Solanum lycopersicum: one gene and its partners. The protein of the gene in region 2 interacts with the protein of the main gene of each other region in a pairwise test. Links are inferred from orthologs where the notes say so. Each region holds a gene or a part of one and is shown on either strand. Other genes may lie near its edges. The genes, in order: B3 domain-containing transcription repressor VAL1-like; abscisic acid receptor PYL3; TCP20; PLASTID TRANSCRIPTIONALLY ACTIVE protein 6, chloroplastic; transcription factor MYB111-like; WPP domain-interacting protein 1; probable serine/threonine-protein kinase WNK5.

The links.
Region 1: the proteins of abscisic acid receptor PYL3 (region 2) and B3 domain-containing transcription repressor VAL1-like interact in binary tests that used the Arabidopsis thaliana proteins (3 or more experiments, as listed by UniProt). The link is inferred for Solanum lycopersicum from reciprocal best matches to the Arabidopsis thaliana genes RCAR1 and HSI2.
Region 3: the proteins of abscisic acid receptor PYL3 (region 2) and TCP20 interact in binary tests that used the Arabidopsis thaliana proteins (3 or more experiments, as listed by UniProt). The link is inferred for Solanum lycopersicum from reciprocal best matches to the Arabidopsis thaliana genes RCAR1 and TCP9.
Region 4: the proteins of abscisic acid receptor PYL3 (region 2) and PLASTID TRANSCRIPTIONALLY ACTIVE protein 6, chloroplastic interact in binary tests that used the Arabidopsis thaliana proteins (3 or more experiments, as listed by UniProt). The link is inferred for Solanum lycopersicum from reciprocal best matches to the Arabidopsis thaliana genes RCAR1 and PTAC6.
Region 5: the proteins of abscisic acid receptor PYL3 (region 2) and transcription factor MYB111-like interact in binary tests that used the Arabidopsis thaliana proteins (3 or more experiments, as listed by UniProt). The link is inferred for Solanum lycopersicum from reciprocal best matches to the Arabidopsis thaliana genes RCAR1 and MYB111.
Region 6: the proteins of abscisic acid receptor PYL3 (region 2) and WPP domain-interacting protein 1 interact in binary tests that used the Arabidopsis thaliana proteins (3 or more experiments, as listed by UniProt). The link is inferred for Solanum lycopersicum from reciprocal best matches to the Arabidopsis thaliana genes RCAR1 and WIP1.
Region 7: the proteins of abscisic acid receptor PYL3 (region 2) and probable serine/threonine-protein kinase WNK5 interact in binary tests that used the Arabidopsis thaliana proteins (3 or more experiments, as listed by UniProt). The link is inferred for Solanum lycopersicum from reciprocal best matches to the Arabidopsis thaliana genes RCAR1 and WNK5.

What each region holds. Positions count from the first base shown.
Region 1 is NC_090805.1:50,704,604-50,708,103, forward strand, and holds part of B3 domain-containing transcription repressor VAL1-like, read right to left. Parts: intron 1,258-3,500; coding exon 647-1,257; intron 559-646; coding exon 462-558; intron 325-461; coding exon 150-324; intron 1-149. UniProt on the Arabidopsis thaliana protein: Transcriptional repressor of gene expression involved in embryonic pathways, such as LEC1, ABI3, and FUS3. Repressor of the sugar-inducible genes involved in the seed maturation program in seedlings.
Region 2 is NC_090807.1:67,225,026-67,229,044, reverse strand, and holds abscisic acid receptor PYL3, read left to right. Parts: upstream 1-1,219; 5' UTR 1,220-1,619; coding exon 1,620-1,754; intron 1,755-2,744; coding exon 2,745-2,960; intron 2,961-3,283; coding exon 3,284-3,502; 3' UTR 3,503-3,909; downstream 3,910-4,019. UniProt on the Arabidopsis thaliana protein: Receptor for abscisic acid (ABA) required for ABA-mediated responses such as stomatal closure and germination inhibition.
Region 3 is NC_090807.1:65,638,203-65,641,549, reverse strand, and holds TCP20 (TCP transcription factor 20), read right to left. Parts: upstream 1,912-3,347; 5' UTR 1,844-1,911; coding exon 731-1,843; 3' UTR 501-730; downstream 1-500.
Region 4 is NC_090803.1:56,299,551-56,303,785, reverse strand, and holds the start of PLASTID TRANSCRIPTIONALLY ACTIVE protein 6, chloroplastic, read right to left. Parts: upstream 2,801-4,235; 5' UTR 2,531-2,800; coding exon 2,024-2,530; intron 1,312-2,023; coding exon 1,243-1,311; intron 1,116-1,242; coding exon 1,011-1,115; intron 466-1,010; coding exon 346-465; intron 1-345. UniProt on the Arabidopsis thaliana protein: Essential protein involved in plastid gene expression and in chloroplast biogenesis.
Region 5 is NC_090805.1:3,706,665-3,710,768, reverse strand, and holds transcription factor MYB111-like, read right to left. Parts: upstream 2,689-4,104; 5' UTR 2,572-2,688; coding exon 2,439-2,571; intron 1,607-2,438; coding exon 1,477-1,606; intron 1,385-1,476; coding exon 754-1,384; 3' UTR 501-753; downstream 1-500. UniProt on the Arabidopsis thaliana protein: Flavonol-specific transcription activator involved in the regulation of several genes of flavonoid biosynthesis. Activates the expression of CHS, CHI, F3H and FLS1. Controls flavonol biosynthesis primarily in cotyledons and leaves. Confers tolerance to UV-B.
Region 6 is NC_090809.1:846,055-850,342, reverse strand, and holds the start of WPP domain-interacting protein 1, read right to left. Parts: upstream 2,801-4,288; 5' UTR 2,456-2,800; intron 1,909-2,455; 5' UTR 1,829-1,908; coding exon 808-1,828; intron 1-807. UniProt on the Arabidopsis thaliana protein: Mediates and enhances the nuclear envelope docking of RANGAP proteins mediated by WIT1 and WIT2 in the undifferentiated cells of root tips.
Region 7 is NC_090808.1:13,977,158-13,981,127, reverse strand, and holds the start of probable serine/threonine-protein kinase WNK5, read right to left. Parts: upstream 2,801-3,970; 5' UTR 1,941-2,800; coding exon 1,845-1,940; intron 1-1,844. UniProt on the Arabidopsis thaliana protein: Regulates flowering time by modulating the photoperiod pathway.

The DNA of each region.
Region 1 (3,500 bases), on a different chromosome or scaffold from region 2:
TAGTATTTCTATCTGAAAATCATAATCACTATCAAATACAGAATCAATTGATGACCAAACTAAAGGAAAGACAGCGAGTCTGATAACTAGCCATTCTGCCAGAGATGAAAAAATATCTCTTTTTATAAGATGAAAGCATGGATATTTACCAGTATCACCAGCTTGCAATTGCATATTCTGTATACAAGGGGTAACACCCTCCAAAACATACATCCGGCTGTTGTTATTGGGCCAAAATCGAAATTGAAATGTCCACTCTTTACCCTTAATATCCTGAATCCTTATAGGTAGACCCTCTGATTGGTTAATTGGAGGGAAGTATGCCTGCATAGGAATTGGCATTGATTAAGCAGAAAAGGTGCATCGCAAGCTAACCATTCGAGGCCATACAGATAACAGGCAAGATATCATATTGTCTAAACTTCACAAAGAAGATAAAAATCTGAAGAAGTAACTATTACTTCAGCACATGCTTTGGGAAGCACCAGACGCCCTATTCGTCCGGCATCACTGGCACTTAGGACCTTCTCAAACAATGGTACAATAGTAGACTTTAAGCTGAGATTCAAGTTAAAGTAAAACAAAATAGGAGCAATACACAACTCAAAGATAATAGCAACCAAAAACAATATGTTATCAAGGATACTCTCCAGCTATTTGCTCCAACTCCTGGTCTGTAATCCGAGGCCAGTATCGAGGCAGTAACTGACTGCGTCCACCACGCCCTTCAGCAGGTGGCCTTGCAATCCGTGCTTGTGAAACCATTCCTTTGACTGATTCAGAACCTGAGGTGGGACTAGGTTTGGGGGGCTTGGGCAATATATGGCGTGCCCTTTGGCCCTGTTGGAAGGGAGAAGTTTTGCTTTGTTCCCTTCCTTCAACATCTCCACCAAGAAAAGGCTGTCCTGAACTTGAAGTACCAATTGGAGTACTTAGACAAAAATTTAGAGACGGCTGATTGATCGAATCATACATATCTTTAACACCTTGACTTGGTCTCTCATTATCGGGTTTGCCAAAGAGAGAAGCCCCAATGTTCTGCTGATTCAAATTCGAAAAGCATGTGCCGACATTACCAATAGGAAGCATTGGATCTTGTTTCTTGTCATTCCTCTGCGTATGAAAGAGTTGACCAGGCTCATTGGTCTGCATAAACCTTCTTCGTTCAAAGTCATTCTCATCTATTTTATTCTCAATGCCCAGTGGCTTTGCACTCTTAGATCCCAAGTTGCCAATAGGAAAATCATCACCAGGTATCTGCAAAAGCATTTATAAGATGATTAAGACTCAAATTATGTCAACTAACAATCAGCTACATTTGTCAAAGAGAATACTTTCGGGGAATGCAACAATTAGTAAAATACCACGTGAATGGGCATACACATTCAAAGCACACGTAAAACGAACTCCGATTAGATAAGTGAATTAAAAGAAAGAGAAAATTCATTCATCAATATCTTGAATTTGTTTGTTTCTTTCAGGGATTAGGTTTTGGCTTTCTGGTGGGATTGTCTTTCAATGTTGCAAGGGCACAATATAGACGCCAGATATATAGTTATAATACCGCCAGAAAACAAAAAAACACATAGAATGTATGCTTTAAGTGAAAAAGCTGCATCAATTACCGAATTACTATGTGAAGGGTAAAAAGTGATATACTATAAAAAGTGATATACTAAGGTTACAATTCACTCTGGATGGTTACTCAGTACTCCAGCATGGGGCCAAACTGCGATTAACCTAACTCTTCTCCCATAATGGAGAGAAATTATTTTGACCCTGCATTTTAGATACTAACCCATATCTTTAAAATATTATTTAGAAAGTTTTCTTAAAATATGACAAGCAAAGATAAGACAGTGTATTCAAATATGCCAAGTAAGCTTGCCAAGAAGAGCACATATCAAGAATGGCAAGTGAACGTCTGAATATCAAATAATCAAATGTCAAAGCACAGAAGAAAATGTAAAAAGGAAAAAAGAGAGCAACCTGTTGTGTCTGTGTAGCATGGAAATGACACTTGCATGGACACAATACAGACACAAGACTGCCTAATTCTAAGAGACCTAGAAACCAAGATACATAGACCATTTCTCTCAAGTGCAAAAGCTGTCTCATTTGCAGAATTACTATGTCAAGTTTTGAAAGTAATATAATGCAGTGGCCGTCCGAATTTTCACCATTGATGGTTATTAGCATGAAAGTAAACTGCCATTGGCTTCACTCTTCTCCCATTATTGGAGAGCTAATTTTGACCCTGTTATTTTAACTACATCCACAAATCTTTAAAATAACCAACTACTAATACTACTAAAGCTTCATTTTTAACTACAAACCTCTCTATAATGGCGTTGTTTGCCTCAATATCTCTTGGTTGCTATAGTGAAATGTTGTTATAGAAAGTTAAATATAATGTAACATGAAAAATCAATTCCAAAACAATCTTGGCCGTTATAGTGAAATGTTGGTATAGGGTCAAAGGATGGTTGCTATAGAGAAGTTCGACGGTAGTTGGATCGCTCTATAGTGGAATATATAATCGCACTTTTTGCTTTGCTTCATTTGCAAGAATTATTCCAATAATTCAATAACTTGAGATTCTCTACCTCTTACTACATACACATCTCTACACAAACTGAACCTAATTATTATAACTAGAAGCGAGCGATCATGAGTAAAATAATTTTTTTTAAGTACATGACAACTAAAAATAGAGAATATATGCCAATTAAAAAGTAAGCTTGCCAAGAGAGGGCAAAAGATAAATTTGACAAGTTAATATGTATGATACTAAACGTCAATAAAACACAAAGAAGTTTATATAAAAAAGAGGTTGATTTATTGATTGATTAGAGAAACAGAAATAAATAAAGGAAAGTATGTACATATGTTATATAACTATACAAATATCTTGACCCATCTACCTTTCTATTTACAATTTTCTTTGACCATTTCCTTTAACAAAATATTTTTTCATCCAAAATTTTAATGTGTAAATGAACAATTCTAGATTTTCAATATCATTTCTTTACTGCAATGAACCTTAAAACCAAGTAACCAACCACAATCACCAATTTAATTTTTTGATCCATTCCAATAAGTTTGACATTTTTCCATTGATGAAAAGTATTCTTCCTTTAATAATTTATATTAGTAATCCTATGCCAATTTTTGTACAACCTTCCATTTTGGTGTATTCAAAAATATTTCACACCATTCTACTAATAAATATTATTTTATACAATTTTCACAAGTTCCTAGAATTCAAAATCTATTCACCTATCAAGTTTATGAGACGTGAATTTTCTCTCTTAATCATATCTTAAACTTCTTATCCAACCAAATGGTGTCACCTAAATTAAAAGGAGTAAAATACCACTATTATTTATTATTTCACGTCTTTGAAACCACTACTTAATCGTTACATTCCAAATTATTATTATAAACACTTCTTTATTAACCATGCTATAATAATCTTAAACATTTTATCTTAATATCTA
Region 2 (4,019 bases):
TATTCAATTTCAGTTTAATTTTCCCTTATGTATGATTATTTAGTGGTTGTTTGGTGATTTAATGATGGATTAGCAGTGGATTAGTAATTGTGGATTCTTTTATGTATGGTTTCACCCTAAAAAAAGAGTGAAGTATGTATTTGAGGAGATAATAATTCAATTTTAAAATATTTTTATTATTTATTAAAATAATATTTAATTTGATCTGAATATAATTAAAGTTGATTGTCTAATAAAAATATTTATCTCTAAATGAAAATTTTTAATTTCACTTTAAAGTATTTAAATTCATCGAATATCGAAGAACAAACAGATCATTGTATTAATAAGTGTAGGCTAACGACTTATCCGATTGGAATGAAGAAAATGATTGACTAGAATCCAAATGTTAACAGGATAAAATGTTTTGATAATGCATCTATTTTATTTTATGAGATATATTTCTTCTATACTTAGAATAATTTAATTTTGAATTCTTTACTTTAATTTATTCTGACATAATTTTATAATGGAATCATGCAAATATCATAAATGTTTTGAATTATATAAATTGCAAGAATTTTATTCCTTTTGTTTTACACTGAAATTATATGGTAGATAATCCTAACGATAATCCCAGTAATCATAATAATTTGATTTCGAACCAAACTATACAATTCATTCGTCTTTTTTAAAGTTCGTTTTAGAAAAAAATATATTTTTAATTCTTTTTTCATATGATATATAATTAAAATCAATAAGATTAAATAACATGATATTTTTTTCTTTTTTTTTTGAATTCTTTGAATAATCGGAAGTTGCTATAATTTCTGTCATTTCTATCCGACAGACTCGACTCAAAAGTGTTGAGTGAGGATCAATCCCGAGTCATCCGCGTGAATAACCACCTTCAAAATCAACTAATCATCTCGAATGACATATGAAATGTAAATCGTACTAGATAAATTCTATGTGACAAAATCAACTCAGAAAATATTGAGGGAGATCAATCTCGAATTATCCGTAGGGATAACCACCCTCAAAATCATCTGAGTCATTCCAAAGGACATATATTTTTAGTTTATAGACATAAAATTAATTTTTTTTTTCACTTTTTAAAATTTATGTCAATTCAAATAAAATAAATAAATTAAAATAAAAGAAAAAACAAATAATCAAGATACTTTAAAGCCGACAAGGGCACAATATTATTAATAAAGATTTTAACCAATTACTTATCTTATAACATCAAATATATTATTCTAAAATAACATTATCAATTTCTACTTTTGTAAAAAGTAGTTTTCTCCATTTTAGATCAAAATGTTAATTAAATTTAGAAACTTAATACCTACCCCCCACCACCAAAAACCCCACTTGCACAAATTATCTTAATTATTTAAATTACAAAAAAATAATAACAATAATGGAGGTTTATAGATGTGGACGAGAAAATAAAAATATATATAAAAAAATAAAATAACCCATCAAATTTAAACCACTCAAAAAATTATTTCGAGGTTCTAATGGCGGTGTCTTTTGGCTTTTTCTAAATTAATTTTTCTCATTTTCCACCCTTTTTTTTTCCAGATTTATTCGCCGTCGACGAGGTTGTCGGTGCCGTTGTTTTTTCTCCGGCGATGGTCAGCATCATGAACGTTGATAGAAAAATTAGTAGTGAAGATGAGTATATTAGGAGACATCATAGACATGATGTTAGAGATAATCAGTGTAGTTCATCACTTGTAAAGCATATTAAAGCTCCTGTTCATCTTGTAAGTAACCCCAATTAAGATTCTTGAAAAAAAGTTTGAATTTTTATGTTTATTTTCATTTGTTAAGCATATTAGAGCTCTTGTTGATGTTGTAAGTTGCCCCAAGTTAGATTCTTAATCAAAAAAGGCGGAATTTTTATGTTTATTTTCATTTGTTGAGCATAATATAGCCCCTGTTGAGGTTGTAGGTAGCCCCTATTCAGTGTATTGAAGAAAAAAGATTGGATATTTATGTTTATTTTGAGATAATTGATGCAACTTCTCACTTGTTAAGCATATTGGAGCTCTTGGTGATGTTGTAAGTTGCCCCAAGTTAGATTCTTGAAAAAAAAATGACTGAATGTTTGTGTTTATTTTCATTTGTTAAGCATATCAGAGGCCTTGTTGAGGTTGTAGGTAGCCCTTATTCAGTGTATTGAAAAAAAAGATTGGAATTTTATGTATATTTTGAGATAATTGATGCAATTTCTCACTTGTTAAGCATATTGGAGCTCTTGGTGATGATGTAAGTTGCCCCAAGTTAGATTCTTGGAAAAAACAATCTTTATAGTGTTTTCCGATAACATAGATTATGGATTTTAGTTTTCACAATAGCTGTGGATTTGAGAGAAAAGAGGGGTTGGTTACTGAAAAGAGAGCTCCGTCTTTATCTGTTGAGGAAGCTAGTTGCAGAGATGCCTTGAACTTTTCTTTGGACAATGTATTTTAAGCTGTTTATGAAAGAGAAAAAAAGCAGTGAGTTTGAAACTATTCAAGACGTTTGATTGTTTTATTACTTCATTTCATTGATGTTCTTCGAACTGTTCAGGCTTGTCAATTGATCACTGGAAAAGATTGAAGTAAGTAGACTATTTTGGATTTCTATGGTTTACATGTATTGTATCTAAAGACGGAAAATGGATGTACCATGTATGTTTTTTTGTTTTGAGAAAGGTAACATATTTATGTTTTCTTCACTGGGTACTTACTGGGTTTTGGTATATTTGATAGGTTTGGTCATTAGTGAGGAGGTTTGATCAACCACAAAGGTACAAACCATTTGTTAGCAGGTGCATCGTGCAAGGGGACCTTGAAATCGGAAGTGTTAGGGAAGTGAATGTTAAGTCCGGACTCCCAGCTACCACAAGCAAGGAGAGGTTAGAGCTTCTAGATGATGACGAGCACATTTTTGGTGTAAAGATCGTAGGTGGAGATCACAGGCTTAGGGTATGAGTCTTTTATCTCATCGTTTGATATGTATTGAATATATCCATAACTTTTCCCTCGTAGAATCAACCATGAAGCGTGAAGTATCAACAAGTGACCTATATAGTCAAGTTATTGCTCTATTTATTCATGAAGTCTTTCTTGTGATCTTTTTATTTTATTTCCCTCTTTTTGTGTGTATTTGGGTTTGGGGGGTTGGGGGTATTTTGTTGGTTGTTCACTTTGGATTCTTAGGCTCGTCACCATATGTTCTGTTATTATCCCGGGAAGGAAAAACAAGAGATGATGGTGACTGTCTTAATTTTTCTTCACATTACTTGCAGAACTACTCATCAATTATCACTGTTCACCCGAAGGTCATTGACGGAAGGCCTGGAACAATGGTAGTCGAGTCATTCGTGGTGGATGTACCAGATGGGAATACTAAGGATGAAACTTGTTACTTTGTCGAGGCCCTCATCCGGTGTAACCTCAAATCACTAGCTGATGTATCCGAGCGCTTAGCTGTGCAGGGCCATATGGAGCCTATCGACAGAATGTAGGTTAACAGCTTCATCATTTTGCCAAGCGTGCAAGGATTTGATTAGAAAGCGAGTAAGAGTGACTGGTACTTATGCCGGTCCTTCTCGATCTCAGAAGTATATATATCTTTATCTATATATACATATATATATGTTCATGCTTCCTCTTCATCATCTGTAAGGTCATCGCGGTTTGTAAAATGCAATCAGTCTATTTCATAATGTGAAGAACCAGCCATGCTGTTTGTGGCTGTGCGTGAATTGAGCTTGGGTTGTAAACATCTATGCTCATTAAGGTGCTGTTTCTTGTTATAGGATCATTGTTGTGTGGTTATGACACGCTATACGCTCGTGTATCTTTTGATTTTGGTGTGTCAATATGTACCAGAAACAGTATTTGGTATATTAAAAATAGGGTGCTTGCTTTTTGTTCTGTGTTCCACTTTCCCCTTGAGATTTGTTGTACCGACTCGAGGGTCCTTAGGAAAACACAGGGTAAAGTTTGTGTACATTTTATCCTATTCAGACTCTACTTATG
Region 3 (3,347 bases), about 1.6 Mb from region 2:
CTTTTCAGAAACTCACTTTATAATTTTTCTCATTTCCCAAAAACAGATCATGGTCAAAAGTTTGTCTAGTAAGATTATTAATTAAGTTTGTTTGTGCTGCCAGTTGGCAGATAGAAATTTTTAGATAAATATTACGAGGGCAAAGATAGTATGGAAGAGTTGGATGAACACTAATAGAGCAAACAAATATATCTTCACTTCGAGAAAACTTATTTTTTCTATTTTGACCGTCCACGAAAGAAAGTAATATTTTGTGAAAATTGTTTATAAGTATGGGTGAGAAATAAAAGACCAAATATTTGATGCCTAGTAAGTGCAAGAATGACACTTATGTGACATATAATGTAGTGAAGCACTAAGTAGGTTAGGTTAATTGGAAGTAATTTGATTTCCACTTCAATGAATTCTAACTTTAGGGCTTGAAAGACATGACAATTAAAATAATGCAAATCTTTAATACACAGTTAACTAAATTATAATAAAGCTGAAGGATGATAATGTTTCCTTTGACAATTATACAATGATTTATTTGTAATTTTTCTAAGAGAGTTACACATCATTCAACTTCTAATTAACATTAGTTTAACAAAAGCAAAAGAAACAAAATAAAAAGTGAATAGCTAGTGTCCTCTAGTAGTTTGTACATACAAGAGTATCATGAGCATATTTGGCCTAAACTCTGCCTCTATATTTATATTGATTCTCAATAAATTATGACGATCACTTGAATCTATGAACGTTCTGAAGATGTAACTTGAGTTTCTTGTTGATGATTTCCACTTCGACTCATAAGCTGTAACTCTTTTCTATCATAAATCTCAAGTGAAAAATCTCTTAGCATATGAGGTTTAACATCATTTGTATTGTTGTTATTTTTATCTGTGCTAGAGCTTAAACTAGCTGGAGCCATGCTAGACTTGTTCGATCCAATTTTAGGCCCCGTGGTTGTGGCTGCTCCATTATTCACTGATAACGGTCCTGCAATCATTATTGCTGGCGGACCGTTAGTATTAATCGTGGCTGCAGTCACGAATGATGGTATTGGCCTCGTGGCCAAATTAAATACAGGTGTCCATAATTGAGGATACTGGAGCACGACGTTATTGTTATTGGTCACGTTTACTTGAGCTGGTGGGACCGTAGCTGGTATCATCCAAATGGCATTGGATGGTACCATCATACCACCATTACTCATACCCCATACCGGTACGAATCCCGGCGGTGGAGCGGTGGTTATTGTTGCCGGCGTGGTTGTTACCGGAGCAAATTGTGAAACATTTGCAGCATTTCTATTCAAACTTCCGACATCAATGAACTCTGAGTTTGATGATTTCCTTCTACGTTTCTGTGGATGGTTCTCGTCGATTTCTGGATTACTCGCCGGGGAACTCGTCGGAATCTTAAGAGTACCGTTAACAGAAACTGCTATCGCCGGTACAGTTCCGGTTCCGGTAGCTTCAATTATAGATTGCTCCGCCTGTTCAAGCAACCACCGAACAGTTTCTCCGTCGGACTTATGACCTAGTTCTCGGGTCAATTGGAAGATCCGAGCTGCACATGTAGCAGGTATTCGGATCCTCCGTCCACGTCCTTCTACTTTTGTGTGGCGGTCCTTGGTAGAGGACCTCCGCGGAGGGGCGGCGGTAGCTACCGGCATAGGCATTGATGGAACCAAAGTATGATGATCGGAATCAAACGGTTCTTCTTTCATAGCGGAAAACACGAGTTTTTTGTCATCGGCAACTGCATGACCGTCCATTTTCTGGTCATTTAGATCTCCGGCAGCGCCGTTACTGAGCTCGGAGGTGCCACAATCATCATCTGGGTCATGAAAACTGGACATATTTTTAATTTTTTTTTTCGGAAAAGAAGAAGAAAAAAAAAGGTGTGAGTAGTGGGAAATGGGAGTATGAATCAGACGGTGGAAGTTGAAGAGGTATATAAGGGAAGAGTGAGTGGGATGATGACACGTGTAGGGGTAAGAAAAGTGTGACTTTTTCTGAGTGGACCATACTGACTGCCACAAATGGTCCTACAATTGGTGTAAGAGAAAAAATGGATCTAAAATGTGGCCCTCTCTCCCTTCACTACAATAAGGTCCCCACCATAATAAGGGGAGCTCTACTTTAGGGAGAGGGGTGGGTGGGTTATAGGTATACTCTTTCTTTCTTTTTTTTTCTTTTTTTTGGGGTGGGTTGGGGGGTTAAGTAGGGAAGATACTTTTAAATTTAATGTGAATTATTAATATCATTTTTAAAAATGTTTTTTTTTAACTAAACAAACTTAAATATAATCCTAATTGAAATACACTTCTAAATTTTTATCAAGTTTATGATTGTTTTCAACACTTAACTTGACTTTTTATTAAGAATATCATGCTCTTATAAGAGTTTGAAGTCACTTGGTATGTTGTATGACAGATTGGAGATGAGTCGATGGTGTATTTAAATTTAGTTAGTCAAGTAGATGAGTGTTTTTAAGGTTGTTAATAGTTTAAGAACGCAACTAATAATTTACCTCTAGTTTAGAGGTATTTTATATATTTCTTTCTTATTTCTTCATTCGATGTCCGGTATCCATTTTTTAGAGGTAGTTTCTATACTTCTTTCTTTTTTCTTCATTCGATGTCTGGTATTTATATTTATTTCTTTTTTCTTCATTTGGTGTCCGTTCTTTTTCTTCATTTGATATCTAGTTTCCAGCTCGACTAAATTTGAATTCATCTTGAAAAGTCTCACATTGAGGGATAAAACACTACCTAACAAAGGTGACTCTGTAACCAAGGATACTTGAATCTAAGCCCTTTGGTTAAAGATGAAAAAGTACTTATTATATCACTACAATAAAGTATAATAATATCAAAAAAAAATTATGAGTATTATATTATGCGTTTAATTAGGAAAATTATTTCATCATATGTATTATAATGATTGAATAAGTTATCTCAAATAACATGGTGAGATAACTAATCTTATGGAATATCACAATACATGAGATAACTGTATCTATTTGATATCCTATGCCAAACAACTTCTAAGTGCTAATAATATTTTCGATTAATCAGTTTTTTAATTTTATTTTGAATTTTTAAAAATGATAAATATTTTGAAATAACTATTTAATGGAAAAAATAAAATATTTTGAGACTGATAAAATAGTAGGTTTCAAAACCTATATCACCTATGATATGGTAAATTTGTGGCTCGCAAATTGCTTAGATTGAGTATTTTTTTAATTTTCTTCCATTATCATCTTCTATTCATATTATTTACTTATCTTTTAAAAAATCACAATTTTAAATAGATACTACTTGATATTTTTAAGAAAAGCTTAATAAATAGTTAATT
Region 4 (4,235 bases), on a different chromosome or scaffold from region 2:
CCCCCTTTGCCTCTTACCCTCTTCCATGCAAACTCCTCCTGAACCCTGCACCCTTTCCCTTGAACAAAACAACCATTTCCCCAAATTTCTGTATTCCTTTGCACCGTATAATTTAGTCAGAATTGATTGTTGAGCGGTGTAAATTGTTAAACATCTCTTCAAAGAATTAACAATCCAATTTTTGGAACTCCAATTACACAGGCAGCAAATTCAGCTATGAAAATAAAAAAGCTATGTCCGCGAAATAAAAGATGATCGCTTTATCAGCCAAGTTACTTTTGATCAATAAAAAATTAGCTAATCTAGAAGAAAAGGTGTTCAATCAAATTTGTAATGATTCCTTACCACTACTTTGGCTCTTGTAATTGATTTGGTTTTAGAATCAATAACGTATATTTCTTCGAAATCAAGAGCAAATTCTGGATCACCTGCCCTGCGATTCCTGTAGTGCTTTGTCAAGAATACCTGCAACAGAAACATGCTGATCATACGACCCATAGAATGCAAGATTAAACATTCTTACCTTCCTAACATAGCCTTCATACCAGTCCAGAGGAGATGTCTGGATTAACTACTTGAACATCATAGTTGTGTGATACAAGCATAAGAATTTTGATGAACATTTTTCAGGATACATGGATGGAGTACAAGAGATCAATATATAAGACCTAAGCAACAAAAAATCCAAAATGATCACCAAAAATGGGTAATAAAGTTTACGACCTCCCTCCAAAAACAAATCAAGAACAAGGATTAAGGAGGAAGATTTGCCTGAAAGCAAAAATAAAGAAAAGAAGATACAAAAACAAGAATACTAAAAGTGTTGTTCCTTGAACTTTTTCCTTTCATATTTTTTTATGTCTCAATGAAAGCTCATCTCGTAGTCCAGCTTGCATTTTACATAACAACTAATACTACTTCACAAGCTTCATACCTTTAGCAAAATAAACTGCATATACAGCATATGACAGAACAAATGTCTAATCAGTTGAACCAGAAGACATCAATACCTTCATAATTTCCCTCTCAGATTTATACATGGGATCTCTAGGTGCATCAATGGGAGGCTCTGTCACATTGTAGCACCCATAATCACTCATCGCACACCTGATATACTACATGAAAAAACATATTGCTGATCAAGAAGTTACTTAAACCCAGTATATCTATTGTAAGTTGAATCATAAGTACTCAAAAGTAAGTCATACAGAATTCAACATGTACAATCATAAATATATAAACCTTCTGAGGCATTGGTGCAAGAACTCTGGGAATGGCATATATATCAGTATCTGGAGGTGTAACATACATCTGCATACCGAATAGAAATGATACTTCATTAGCTAGCACATACATTGTTAAAACGGTAATTAACATTCAAATTTCACTATCTGAATTCTCCTACACCCCAAACTTTGGTCTAATGTTCTTTTCATATGCCGACCTACCCATGTTGAACATACACACGGGTGCGGTAGTACTAGGTGCAGTCCTTCAAATACTCCATAAACTTTATCAAATTGACAATCTCACCAGGATATATATCAATTGGCATACCAAATACACACCCATATTTGAGTCCATGTAACATGGAAGGACAAATCCCTATTTCTTTTTAAAAAACACATCTGAGGTGTAATCCACCCAACAGCGTGTCCAGTCCACAATCACAGGTTTTGCCAATGTTATTATGCTCATAGGTTGAAGCAGATTGGCACCAAGTTTGAAAGCTATTATTCCGATAGTGATCAACAGTACATTATTCCCCTGACTCAGCCTCTAGGTCATCCCTTTTGGACAACCATGTTAACCATTTTATCAAGACAGAAATCAACAAAGTGTTTACATCAATATGCATTCCGAACAACATTACATATAACACTAGGCAAAACGCTAAAATGAAGATATTTTATCCATAAAAAGAAACCATATATGCAAATTCCAATGTGCAGATTCTACTGCAAACATACTAATGCTCCCAGCAGAAAAAAAAAAGAAAAGAGACAGAGACTCAGAATTTAACCTCACGAAAATCATAAACATCGTCATCAGGATCAGGAGGTTTACGAATGAAGAAATCACAATCGAAAAGGCAAATTTTATGAAACTCCTCCTCCTTAATCCTATAATCCACAATTTTCTCCGAATCCCATCCTTGAGTAAACACAAAGCTACTGCTATTCACCATCGCAATGTCATCATCACCCCTAGCAACAGCTAAAGATATAGCACTACCACCACCTAAGAGGGTATCATAGTCAACATCAAAGTCCTTCTTGTTGTCTGCTTCTTCCACTTCATCTTCGTCCATGTCATATTCATCTGTACCTCCACCGTCAGCATCTCCGTCATCCGCGAACACCCTGAAATCCGGTCTTTTTGAGCTCAAACTTTGTTTAACAAAAATGAGGTTGTTGGAAATTGTCTTAGCGAATGAAACGGTGAAAAGGGTCGGTGTAGAAAGTGAAGAAGGTGCAGTGGAGAAGGTTGAAAGCTTCACCGGAAGCGGCAAGAGGAGACCGGCGCTCATAGTTGTTCAGTGAGTGAAGAGGAAAAAAAAGTGAAGCGGGGGAGTGGATTAGATTTGTACTTTTTGTTACTCATATTATGGTCCTTACATATCCTAGATTTGATACTTAAGCCCCCTCGAAAGCAGGGATGGCAAAGATGCGGGGCGAGGTGAGGCGTGTTAAATTCGTTAAGAGCTACAAATGTTTCGATCCACCTAACCTTGCCCTGCCTATCTCATGTAGTAAAATAATTTATTTTCAATTTATTTGACCTCGTTTTATCATGTCCCTTTTAAATTCGTTCCACATAAATTTATTATATATAGTTTTTTTTATAATGACTTTCGTGCCACTTACTTTGTTCTATATATGTTAAAAAAGATTAGCTGAAACTTTTGTAATATAAAATCAATTATAAAAGCTTGATTTCTTGATCTTTAGAACTCCGATTGAGCTGATTTCTGTTTCTAATTGCTATTGGGTTTTTGAGTTAGGATTATTGGGGGGGGGGGGGGGGGGCATTATGGGCTTCTTTTGGAGGTAATTTCTCGTTCAGAACCTCCTTTGTTATCTCTTTAATGGTGATTTCTTGAAGTTTTAGTGTATGAGCTTTTAAGGTGGATTTAAGGCTTAGATTGTGACCTTTTTGGGGGCACAGGCTCCTCGGTTGAATAAGATCTCTCAAAATGCAATTTTGATTTGTTTTAAATTTCATCTTCAATTATTGTAATTTGGGTGTCAAAAAAAGTCTATATTAATGTCGTGGTCATTCATTTGATAGTGTGACCACAATTGGAGGCAATTCAGAAGGTTAAGCTCTTGCTTAGTGATTAATTTGGAGCGCGCATGATCAATTTTGAGGTAGAATACGACTTACCGATCTTAGATTGAGTTTTTGTTGCTATTTTCATGTTATTTAGCTAGTATTGGGAGGTTTATCTATCTTGAATCATGTTTTGTTGATAGAACACGTGATTTTAGCCCCTTTTTGGATAGTTTTTGGGAAATTGAGCATTCCTTCTTAGTTTACATGTTGTATTTTACCCTGTTGTATCTATTTGTTTGATTGTAGTGATATTGATGGCTTGTTCTTTGCCTTAGACTAGGCATAGGCTAGTGATAGCCTTAGACTTGCTATTTGGAGCTATTAGGCTTTAGAAATCCCCTGCCTTCGCTTCAGACGACTTAGCTCTCACTAGAGTGATGTAGCAGACTTGGGAATGATAATATGAATCCTTAGCTATGCGACAACTCAACTCGTGTAACTGTTCGTCCATATATTTCCTTATGTAACCTTAGTGGGACACAATCAGAGTCTAATAGCCATTGTTCGAGGCCTTAACACATCTCTTATAACCACTCTTTGAGGCCCTACCGCATCTCTTTTAATTTAGCAATAGTTTGAGGCCTTGGCGCAGTTCTAACAACCTTGGTGTGAAGCCCTAACACATTACCACAAGCCACAATTTGAGTCCGGGTACAATTCTATCTGTCAGGCTTAAGTCTAGACATTGTGGTTTCATTGGGTTCTTTGGGTTGCCTTCGCCGCAATTTGAGTCTGAGGACGGACGTTATAGTTCTTAAATACTTCTAATCCTTGCTAGTATTATCTTTAGCTCTTATGTGATCTCATCGAGCTTATGAGGGTCCATTAAGGTTATTTACTTTCCAATTGTGCATTAATGTACCTTCTGGGCTTATGGAGGTCCAATTAGGTTATAGATA
Region 5 (4,104 bases), on a different chromosome or scaffold from region 2:
AAAATAAGTCATTCATATATTAATTTTTTTTTATAATTTTTAAGTCAATTAATAGATAGATAGGGGTATTAATTATGATTAAAAGGATGTATGTATATATTCTGTTGAGAAAAAATGCATTTTCTCTAATTTCATAAAGAGAAGAAAAAGTGATACATGATTGAAAGCTAATCATTTAAAAATTAAAATTGTAATGAAGAGCAACACAGTGAAAGGATAATTAAGACATGAGAAATATTAGTACATTTTCTCTAATTGACCTTAATATAAAGCTAATATAATTTTTTTATCAAGACTATCGAGAAAAAATCTCTCCATAAAATAAATTTTTTAAAAATATACATCGTAAATGTTATTATGTTCTTGCTACGAAAGAAGAATTTCTAATTTATAGTGATCCATACATTTTCTCTAAAAAAAAAATAATCAAATGAGGAAGAAAATTATATTTTCCTCTTAGAAAAATTAAAAATATTTATAATAATACTTTAAAAGAAGAGTACGCAAACAACTTTTTATTTAATTCATTTATAAATAATATATATACATCATTAAGAAGAAAAAAAACCAAATAATACACTTAAACCCACTGTACATGCCTAGTCTATTTCTACCACACTAATAACATATTATATTTTCATCTCATAAATGAAATTTGAAAAGAAAAAAAAAGAAAGTAATATACATAATTTGATCTTTATTTTTGTGGAATAAATAATATAAATTATCTCCTTAATTGTAATACTTCCAAAATTAAGACAAAAGCCAAGCTACCAAATCACTCTGCATGGGATCAATATTTTCTTGTGTTGCTTCTTTGTTCATGCAGTTCTGCACATTGTCATTAATGTCACATAATGACATATTATTATTATTATTATTTTGCTCTGTTTCTTTAGTACTATTTCCACATATTTCATTATTCAATATTTCACTTAAATATTCCCAATCCCACTTACCATAATTATCCTCACTTAAGATTTCATTATTATTATTATTATTATCATTATCATCAGTTATTTCGAGATTTTCTCCTTGATCGTCCCATAAACAATTTGTAATAAAATCTTGATCTAGCACTTCATAGTTAGCGTCCATCGGCACAATATCGTCATGCCATAACATCTGGTCATCAATATGATCAAACTCGATATTTTCATTCGTAGAATTTGACACTCTAGTAATTATTTTTCTTCTACTGCGTCCTCGTTTGGTAATATGTTTTACTTGTGTTCCTTTTTTAGCTAATTCAACAACTGCTTGTGGTAGCTTCTCATCACCTGGAATTCTAAAGCTATCCACCTTTCGTCTCAAATGAGAATTCCAATAGTTTTTTATTTCATTGTCTGTTCTACCAGGTAAATGTTCTGCTATCAGAGACCACCTGCAAACCAAATTAAACATTCAGATTTATACAATTATATTTAAGTTTTTATTGTGAATAGAAAATTGTAAGTTTAATGAAAACGAACAAACCTGTTACCCAAAGTTGCACGTAACTTGATGATTATAGCTTCTTCATCAGAGGTTATGTTACCTCTCTTCAAATCACTCTTCAAATAATTAATCCATCTGAGTCTACAACTTTTTCCACATCTTAATAACCCTATCAAAGGACCACAAAAATAAAATAAAAACTTTTTTGACTTTGCAACAAACCATTGAACACATAATTCACTAAATCAAAATACATAACACAATCAGTTAGCTCATAATTTTTATTTTATTTAACTCTTCTACTACAGCTCTTTCTGACAAAAATGTTATTAATTAGTATAAATAACTCCTAGAATAGTATGATATTAATTAGCCAACTTAGTCCCTAGGTCGTACGTTACTTTTTACCATTATAAAAGGCAAAATTCCTTTAGGCCGGAAAATTTGATTAAACAAACTTTTTCGATATGGTTTGTCGTGATTATTATTTTTAGTGTTTTATTATAAAATTTTGACTAATATTTTAAGATGTATTTTCTTATCATATTAATATGCAAAAAATTGTAATTTATAGTACTTTTTCTATAGTTTTAGAATATCTAATTTTTTTGTTTAAAATATCGATAATTGACTTTCGGTAAGCGCAACATGACAAACAATTTCTGACGGAGGGAGTATTTTATTTTATTTTAAAAAAACACTTTTTACTTTTTAAAGTTTAAAATTTATTAACCAAAAAATAGAATCTATTTTAAAATAAAAGAATATTAGAAATTACATTCTGGCTAAAATTTTAGGTCATTTAGCTAATTTATATTTCATGATGCTACTATAAAATTTTATTGGCATACTCAGTTAAAGAATGTAGCTAGCATATACTTTGAAAGTATAAGTAAACAAAAATGTAGTATCTCACTGATTTTTGTATAAATAAATAAATAAAAAAGAAACTTTTAGACGAGTTAATTACACATTAAGCAAAGCGAAGCGATGTTAATTACCAGCATTTTTGGGTAATGACCTCCAAGAACCTTCACCATTAGCTTGAATATAGTTTGTGAGGATTTCATCTTCTTCTGAAGTCCATCTCCCTCTCTTAAGACCTACTTTCTCACAACAAGGTGTTCTTCCCATTATTTAATTTTTAGTGTATAGTATTATATAATTATTATACTATATACTATACACTACACTTTGTAAGATAATTTTGGTAAGTGCAAATGATGAAAAAGCCCCAAACATAATATCAATAAATAGATAGTAGAACTTTGAAGAAACAAATAGTTTGGTGCACTAATTAATTCCATCTCACCTACTCACCTCTTCCTATTTTTATGATGATGCTAATTTGGACGTATTTAAACTTTATTCAAAATAGTCTTTTATTTTACAAAAAATATAATAAAAATTTTAGAACCTATGACATAATTGTTGACAGCTTTTAAGGATAGGACATATCTTTATTGAAGGTAAAAAGAAAAAAGAAGAAAAAAATAAACCAAAGTTTTAAAATGTGGAAGATTTTGCATTATGTGTCAGTCGTAGAGGAATTATTTGGAGATTGAAAATACCACGCAATATAGAAGAAAGCCGTGGCATGAGCACCGTCACGTCTTGTGTCTACCTTATTCATTGATATTACTCAAAATTATTCCAAAAAAATAATAATAATCTTAATAACTCAATTATTAGAAGTAATCTCAACTTTTATCTTTCTTAATATCAACTTAATTAATGATATAATTCTCCATCTTTAATTTCTCTTTTCTATCACGTGGGCGTAAGTTTGGGACTTCCATATTGGAGGTTTCAAGTTCGAAACCTCTTGCCAGCAAAAATAAGAATTTAACTTCTGGATCGAGCTCGTCGCATAAGAATTGCCTAGTGTGATTACCTCATGTGATTTGCGAGCTATTACAAAGAAAGGAGATTTTTAACCTGTACGCACCTAAAAGACAACAACGGCGAGCTTCCTTTGTCATAAAAAATAATTAAGAAAAATAAGTAGATGTTTGAGACGGAGCTAAAGGAAGGAAAAAAGGAGGGTTTTATTATTGAATAATACTTATAATATGAAATAAGTGAATATATTGGTGTAGTTACAGAAGACAAAGAGGATTCAAAAAATATTTAGTTATATTGTTGACTGGTCTCCGAATAAGTGAATGTTTTTTAATAGTGACTATGTCTTTTAATTTGATATTATCTATTATTTATATCCATTAACATTGAATTTATACAAATATATATTTAAATTTATAAAAAGATTAAATAGATAAATGTATTTATTTTATGTGTAATAATTTTATGTTTTGTGTGGTGTCCTATGTGTGTTATGTCATGTAAGGCGTGCGTGTTTATTTGTTTAATTTGATTTAAGTTTAAGTGTCTATTAGAGGTAACAAATGGATTGATTGCATTGACTTTGAATGAATTGGATCTGGATTGAGTTAAAAATAGATTGGATAACAATTCATCCATAAAATAATATAGGTAAATAAGAATTTGGTCAAATATGATTTAGATAAATAATTGTTACTCATTTTAATCTCTTAAATCTAAAAAATATTAAATCAAAGCTAAGTTATTAATATCTCAACCTCAACCATCATAACCTAACCCTGTAAAATTTAAGAGAGTAATAGTAGTCAATCCTGTAAAATTAAT
Region 6 (4,288 bases), on a different chromosome or scaffold from region 2:
TATTCATGCCTTAAATTGGACAGAATTATCTCTCCTCCAAAACCTTTTTTGTGGTAAAAAATAGAACAGAACATGTTAATTACAGCCAATGAAAATGCACGTCCTGGTGCTTAAACTACATATCTTGAGCAAGCCAACAATATCAAAATAATAAATAGCAACACATTTATCCACCTTCAATGTTGCAATATCAGAATTTATTATAACAAATAGATATCAACTTTTCAAAGAGTATAACCAATATTTCATCATAAAAAAATAAAAAAAAGCATAACCAACATCTGTTGTACTAGCTACGAACAAAGTTAAAGGATTATTTTAGGCAAACTGAAGAACTTAATGGTATTGTTTCAATAACCTTAACTCTTTTGACATAATCTTGATTCTTGAAGCAATAAATGCATCATAGCGAAAACCATTAGAACACACTCAAATCCTTCTATTATGTACATAACCATTAAGATTACCAATACTACATCAGATCGAATTTCATGACTTGCTGTCACCTCTTCCTGAAGCAATGCCAGTCCTAAATTCTTGGGCATGACAACAAAATGTTCAAATTTGGGGAAAGCAGGGACGCGTCCGGGTCGCGGGGTGTGGGGACGTCGCACATAACTATGCAATGACTGCAATCATTCTAATACTTCTTTGAACTTAGAATAAACTTCCACCCAAAAAAGAAATTTGCTTCATACAATATGCTGAAGACTCCAAGCAGAAAATAGAAGGCATAATCAAAACCAAAAAAAGAACATACTAGAATAGGCTCAAAATCGTATACTTCAAAGAAAACTGAAGATCTACCTCTTTCAAGATTTTCCTGAGCAGCTTGAAGGGTGAAGATAGACTCCAGCAGAGGATCATGATCTGTGGACAACCCCTGATACCCACTCCTCTCTTCTTTAACCTCCCAGGCGGATTCAACGCCTAGATCTTCTTGAGTTTCACACTCCTTATCATTTCTTCTGTCTAGAGCAGTCTGAAGTTCCTCGCTGAATGGTCTTTCTCTGGTGAGAACTTCATCACTGAATTGTCCATCATTATTCACTGAGCTTCCACCTTTCATACCATTACTTGTTGCATGATTATTACTCTGCATAGGTAGAAAATTGGAGCTTTGTGAGTCGGATTCCATGCTTGAATGAGAGTTTTCCTTCTCTATTTTGACCCTTTCTCCTCTAGGCTTTTTACTAATTTCAGCCTGACCCTTTCCCCGATGAGATTGCTGAGCTGAAGTACCCATCTTCCCACCCAAAGTACCTGGCCCATTCTTAACAGGCATATAACCATGGAAAACAGGTGCTTCGTACCTTGACTTTGGAGCACTGGCTGCAGTCGAAGACCTACTACTCCGATCCTCACTATTTTCCGAGTCTGTTCCACCCAAAAATATAGGATGAATCGCCAACCCAGAATTACCAATAAGACCAAAGCCATCAACAAGAACATCAGGGCTACCCAATAGTGCATTTACTGAAGAAACAGATCCATCACTATTTCGGATCGATCCAGTGGACAAATGTACAGGTTTTGCTGAGTTTGCAGCAGAGCTCGACAAACCACGCTTCAACAACTTAGCATTGTCTGTGTTACTGTCCTCATCCTTGTGTGCTTCCCGCCTGATCCTCCTCCATTTCTTCAAGCCAAATCCTTTAGCTGTTGGTGAGGATTTCACTGAGGGAGGTGAACCCACTGGGTCCGCAGTTTCAATACCTTTACCTTTAGACTCATCTAAAATAGGGGTATTGTGATTAATAACACTGGAACCATTGCTTTCAACCTTGTTCCGATCTGGATCATCCAAATCTTGAAGTGTGGTGGTCATTGCTTCATGTCTTCCACCAACTAAAGCTCCAAACTTTGACCAATCAAGTTCGATTACAGCATAAAGTTCAGGGTTTTAGCCTTTTAGACAACATAAAGAAGAAGAATAAGTCAGATCGAGATCGAGAATTTACTTACATAACTTGGATAAATGAATTGGATTATCCGATCATTACACTAACAGCAACAAACTAATTGGATTTAGCTAAACAAATCATCACTATCGATTATACTCAATCTGGAACCAAAGATGAATCCAGTAAATTGATAATGAACTGAATAGACAAATAAAAGTTGGGAAAGCGACAGAACACTACATAAACAGAAAGTCCAATATAAGCAGATTAAACTGCACTCATTATTAAATGAAAAAAACAGAAATGAAGAACTCAGATCAAGATCGAGAACAAACAAACAACCATCATTCCAGTTCATGGAAACTGAAAATCTATCAAAATTCACTATAAATTGAATTGCATAGCTTGAGTAAAAATTCCAGCTAAAAACACTAACAACAACAGCAAAATAAGTGGATTCAGCTAAATGAATGGATTATGCTCAATTTGGAACTAAAAATGAATTCATAAATTTGTGAAGCTATATAAAAAGAATACGAAATCGTTCATACCTTCTCCTCCATGATCGATGGATTTGCAGAAATGAGATGGAATTGAGGAATATGGAAACCCTAGATTTGATGTGGATTCAGAAATTTATAGCCACAAAATTGCTACAACTGATAATTTGGGGAAGACGACTTGAAAAGGAGTGGGGTAGATCGGGTCGGGTTGGGAGTTGTTAATAATACGTAATTGATTATTATTATTTTCAATAATTTTATTAATTATTATATGAACTATAGGAAGAAGTTGACAACTTCAATTTTTTTTTCTAATTTACTATTGACATTACGAAAGATTAAGAATTTGGGGGATTACTTTATGTTTGCGATGGAATCACTACACAATAACTCGATATTTATGATGCACGATTTGAAATTTCAATAAGCAATAAACTCGCTTATTATTATCTTCCACTTAAATTTCTAACTTGATGTTTAAAATTCATAACGTGTATAACTCATAGTCACAATATATTCTATATCTAAGTGCAATATCACTAAGAAAGGTCGAATATTAGTAGTGCACGATTTGAAATCTCGATAGAAGATTATACTTTTTAACTTAAATACCAAATGTGACCGTTTCATCAACAACATTGTTTTGTTTGGTACAAATGTGATAATTTCTATAACATGCTATTACACAACGGTAACCAAAATTAAAACGTTAGCTTAACTTATTATATCAATCAAATCATTAAAAATATATATATAAAAAGAAATCATATTAGTTTTGTAAAAATTTAACACAACCAATTTGATTTAATTGGTTAAAAACTATTCTTTGTACTTATTTTTTATAATGAATAAAGTTGTGTTAGTCCACGTGAAATATTTCCTTTAGATTAATGAACTAAGTTAAGAATTATGCAAGTATCGAATATAAATTTTGTAATATCTTTTCATTTGTACATAACTTTATGTGAAAAAAGTTTACATATATGTATTGATGGGAGGTAAAGATTAGTAGATATCTTATTAAAATATAATCGAGATACGTATAAACTAACTCAGACGTCACGATTATAATAAAAGGATGTGGATAGAACATGGGAGAGCCAAGAAGATAAAGAGACCAAAGTGGGGCAAAGTAGTGTGCAGATGATGTGGAAACCCACATGATGCAGTGTTTTTTAGGGGAAAAAAATGGAAAATGACACTGCAGAAATAACTAAGTGGAGGTCAAATCTGTGTGTTCAATTATTGATGGAATCTTCTTTGTGTGAGAGGAAATAATTAGGCACTTTGCCAGAGTATTTGACAGAGAAACATGTTGCATTTAATTGTTACCTTCCCATATATTTGTATTTTCAAAAACGATCTCTCTATCTTCACGAGTAAGATCTATATTTATTTTTGAAAAACGATCTCTCTATCTTCACGAATAAGATCTACATTTATTTTCAAAAAAACAAAAGAGTTCTCTTCGAATAAATGGATTGTTCTATCTTTTTGTTTCCTTCAATAAGGAACACTTCACCTCATGGCAATTTCCAACACGAATCCAAATTAATTGATTCTAAAGCTAATATTGTACCTCGAGTGACAACAAAAGAGGTACCCACTCTAAAAGAATAATACATAAATATGACTTTTAAATTGGCTTCAACGAATAAGTATGCCTTTCCACTTTGAGTGTGCACAAATAGTCACTTACACTTGTATAAAATTGAACAAGTAGACACACGTGTACTACAGGACGTAATACATGTAGGATGCCACGTAAAGTTAAAGATTATAGTTTTAAGTGTCTACTTATGCACAACTAAAGTTAAAGGTCATAGTTGTCAACTAACGTCAAATTAAGGTCATAGTTGTCCACTCTAAATGGTGAAAAAT
Region 7 (3,970 bases), on a different chromosome or scaffold from region 2:
ATGTTATTTTTTTGGGACTGACTAAAAAGGAAAATAAGTCATATAAATTGGGACAGATGAAGTAATTAACTACGCTCCATTCCAATTTAATTGTCTTACTTTTTGTTAGTCGGTTTAAAAAAGAGTGTTTCTTGTATATTGGGACAAGGTACAAGTACCCCTTAAACTATAACCAATATCACAAAAACACACATTAACTAAATTAAGGTTCTATTACTCCTAAATCCATTTTTTATGTAATTTTATACACTTTTTTAACTTATGTGACATCCAAATATCTCCCACGCGCTTCAAGTGCATGGGGTCACGAAGTATGCTACGTAAGCCAAAAGGTGTACAAAATTAAAAAAAATGAATTCAAAAGGATAATAGGACCTTAGTTTAAGTAAGATGTGTCTCTGAGATTCCGGGAGGGATATACTTGCTTCTTATCCCTTCTATATTTAGTCTAATTTTAACATTTTAAACCACAAGATGTAAAGAACTATACAAATATATTTAATTTAAGATCACAAAACTTAAATTTTATTTATTTATTTCTTAGCAGTCAAACTGAAAACTTCAAATGAAACATAAAAATGTACAATTTATCATGAATATCAACCATATATGAATTTGTATTGTTCGCGCCACTCCATTTAACTTGTCACATTATAACAGTATAATTATAGTTAATTTCTCTAGAACCAAATGTATATATCCTCCAAAAGTCAATTTTCTAGCTAGCCGAAGATTTGTTACTTTATATAGGCTATCAATCTATTTTTTATAGACTAGAGACAAGGTTTTCATGTCCTCCTCATGTTATTTCCTTTGTGCATAACATAATATTGTAGGGTCAAGCCAAGCCCTCTATACCTCTACAACCTAATTATGATAGATTAATATAAAAAGGAAGGGGGAAAAAATCCAAAAAGTCAATGAGCCAAAATCCCTATAACACACAAGTTTGTCACCTACCAAAACAAAATAAAAGGAGGAATATTTTTATCATCACGGGGAGAACCACCTTCTGTAATATTAACAAATAAAATTTTTATATATATATATTCTACAAGTCAACTTGCTTCTTAATTAATTAATAATGATGAGGTCGGCCATTTTAATTTGGATGTTTTCAACCAACATTTGCCGCCCTATATCATGCTATTTCTGAGGATAATCAAAATGGCAATTTATAAATAGTCATGTAGGACTAGGTTGAGCCACGTTTCAATTATTTCCATAGCTACCTATTTAATTTTTACCAGCATAAGCAATAATGCCCACTGAAATTTAGAAAATAATCGCCAATAATTAATATTTTAGTTTTTTTTATCTAATTACCAGTCCTCATTGGAATATTGTAGTGTACAAGCATCTAGTTTTCCTAGATTTTATTTTCTTTCATTCTTATTGATAGATTTGTTACTTCGTTAGGATTGGGATGATAAAATTTATAGCCCTTTGCTTGTACTTAATTATCTCTATTGAGAATTTTTCCTAGTTTTCTATAGTTTTATTTGTTAATTAATATAAATTTGTTACCTCTTAAGAATTGATATGATAAGATCTAGCTCCTTTACTTATATTTATCTTTATTGGGAAAAAAATATTTCTAATTAAATTCAACTAAATGCTGTCCAGCAGTAAAAGATTTCCACCCAAAAGAAGTATGACAAAAGAGCTATGAACTTTTAAACGCAAAAACAAGAAAATTAAATGAAAAAGAAGAGAAGTGGACTTTTCATTGGTCTATAGAGTAATTCTCAAAGAGATCAATGATTTAAATTTAATTTATCAAATTGATGATAAAGTGCAAAACAACAATATATATGAAGGAAAAAAAGATATGAAAAACTTACACGTCCATAGCGTTTAGATGAATCCACTTCCACATACTCCAACTCCAAATTTGTTCCATTAACATCAAGCATTTCATTCATCCCAACTTTAAGCATGTTCAACCAAATCCTTATACATACACAAAGAAGCAAACAACTCCAACAAAATATATTTAACAAGCAACTACTTTCTCTCTCTCTCTATATATATATGATTATCACTAAACTTTATTAGAACAAAAACACAAAACTAATGTAGTTTCTCTTGATGTAATTAAAAAGATAATAGATAAGCTAATGCTATTGAATCCGAGGCTTTCCTTCATGATTTTCATAAGAGAAAACGCCAAATAATAACCAAAAGAGCCTTGAGTAATCAATCCTTAGCATAATCCAAGACATGGCTACAACTTCACGTGAAAACTCGTAATCCCCACAAATCATTTGGAATAAGTCTAACACAAAAGAAAAAGCACTATAAGAGGTGAGGATGCAATCAACAAATCAAGGGAATATAACTAAATTAAAGTAGACAACAACTTTTCAATAGGAATTTTAAAAAGTGGGGTACTTTTTGACAACAAATATAATTGATGGGATTCTAAACTTGAAAAATCTATGGCCATGTTTTGGAAGTGACATTTTTCTTGAGTGGCGGATGATAATCACATAAATGAGATTTTGGACCAGAGAGCGATGTGATCGAATATGGAATAACTAATAAAAAGAATAGAATTTGAGAGAAAAGAGATGGAGAAAACTTTAATCTTGTGTTTGTGTGAAATATTAGGGTTGAATTAGAGGGATTTTGTAGAAGAAGACTTTTGGGATTAACAAAAGGGTGGGGTGTTTATGGTGAAATATGGCCTTTTTGAGATGACTTTATTACTGTAACACTGTTGACCTTTTGTGTATATCCCAATGTGTAATTTTTTGTTTAAATTTTCCTTTTATTTCCAATTTGGTCATATGTCCTTTTTTGTTATTATTTCTAGTAAGTTTTATTTGGAAACAGTTTTAGGTCAACTATAGAAGTTAGTACTTAGAAACGATTGGCCAAGCTTTTTTAATTTATTAATTATTAATGGGGTCTCTAAATTTGTCATATCATTATTGGTACCTTTTAAGCAAGCATTTTCTTTTAAAACTTATTCTCTTTTTTTTTTAATGATTTGTATCACAATCTCATTATTAGTTCATTAGAAATTATAAATAACTATTTTTCTTTTCTACTATATTAGAAGAGTGGAGGTACTAACATGTGTGCTTTAGGTCATAAATTCATTTTCTTGAGGACGGTTTTGTCATTGCAACTAATAGTCCTATTCTTAATATTATTCCACATGATTTTGGTTGCAATCTCAGTGTTATAAATGACTTTTATGCCAAATTCTTCATTCCTATGTTAAGTTCATCCTTTGTGATCTTCCCCCTTTACTTACCCATAAACTACACATTTTTCCTTTTCTTTTTATATAAATTGATGGAACATTATTCCCAAAAGAAATAATATGATGTGATGAAGACGATGAATTAGTACGATTTAAAAGAAGGAGATGAACACAAAAATGCAATTTTGGAAATTTCTAATGACATTTTTCTCATTAGTGTATAAATTATATACAAAATACTGGCCAATAATGTCAGTGTTGTAACTAGCTTAGAGTTGAAAATTTGGCTACCTTATTCTTGGAGTCATTTTCCGTACGATAGTGTATATTCGATTGGTCATAATTTATGCGACCTATGAATAATATGTTGTAAATATATATTTACTAAAAATATTTTAGTTACTCACATCATAAGTAATTGATTCTTTCAAATTGACATTTAAAAAATGATTTTCATTTTTCGCACAAATATATATATATATATATATATATATATATATATATATAGATAGATAGATAAATACACACAAATATATATCAAGATAAATATTAAACCGTATATGTGCCGACATTATTCGTCTAGGTTTATTATATATTAGAGATCTATAGTTATATTTTGAATAGATATAATTAACACTGAGAGATTTTATAGTTATATTTTGAATATAGATAATTCATTATTACTATTGTTTGAGATGCTAAGCTAAAAAGGGAAGGAAAAAAAAAGCTTGAGTATGACTTTTTTTCGTTTATTTC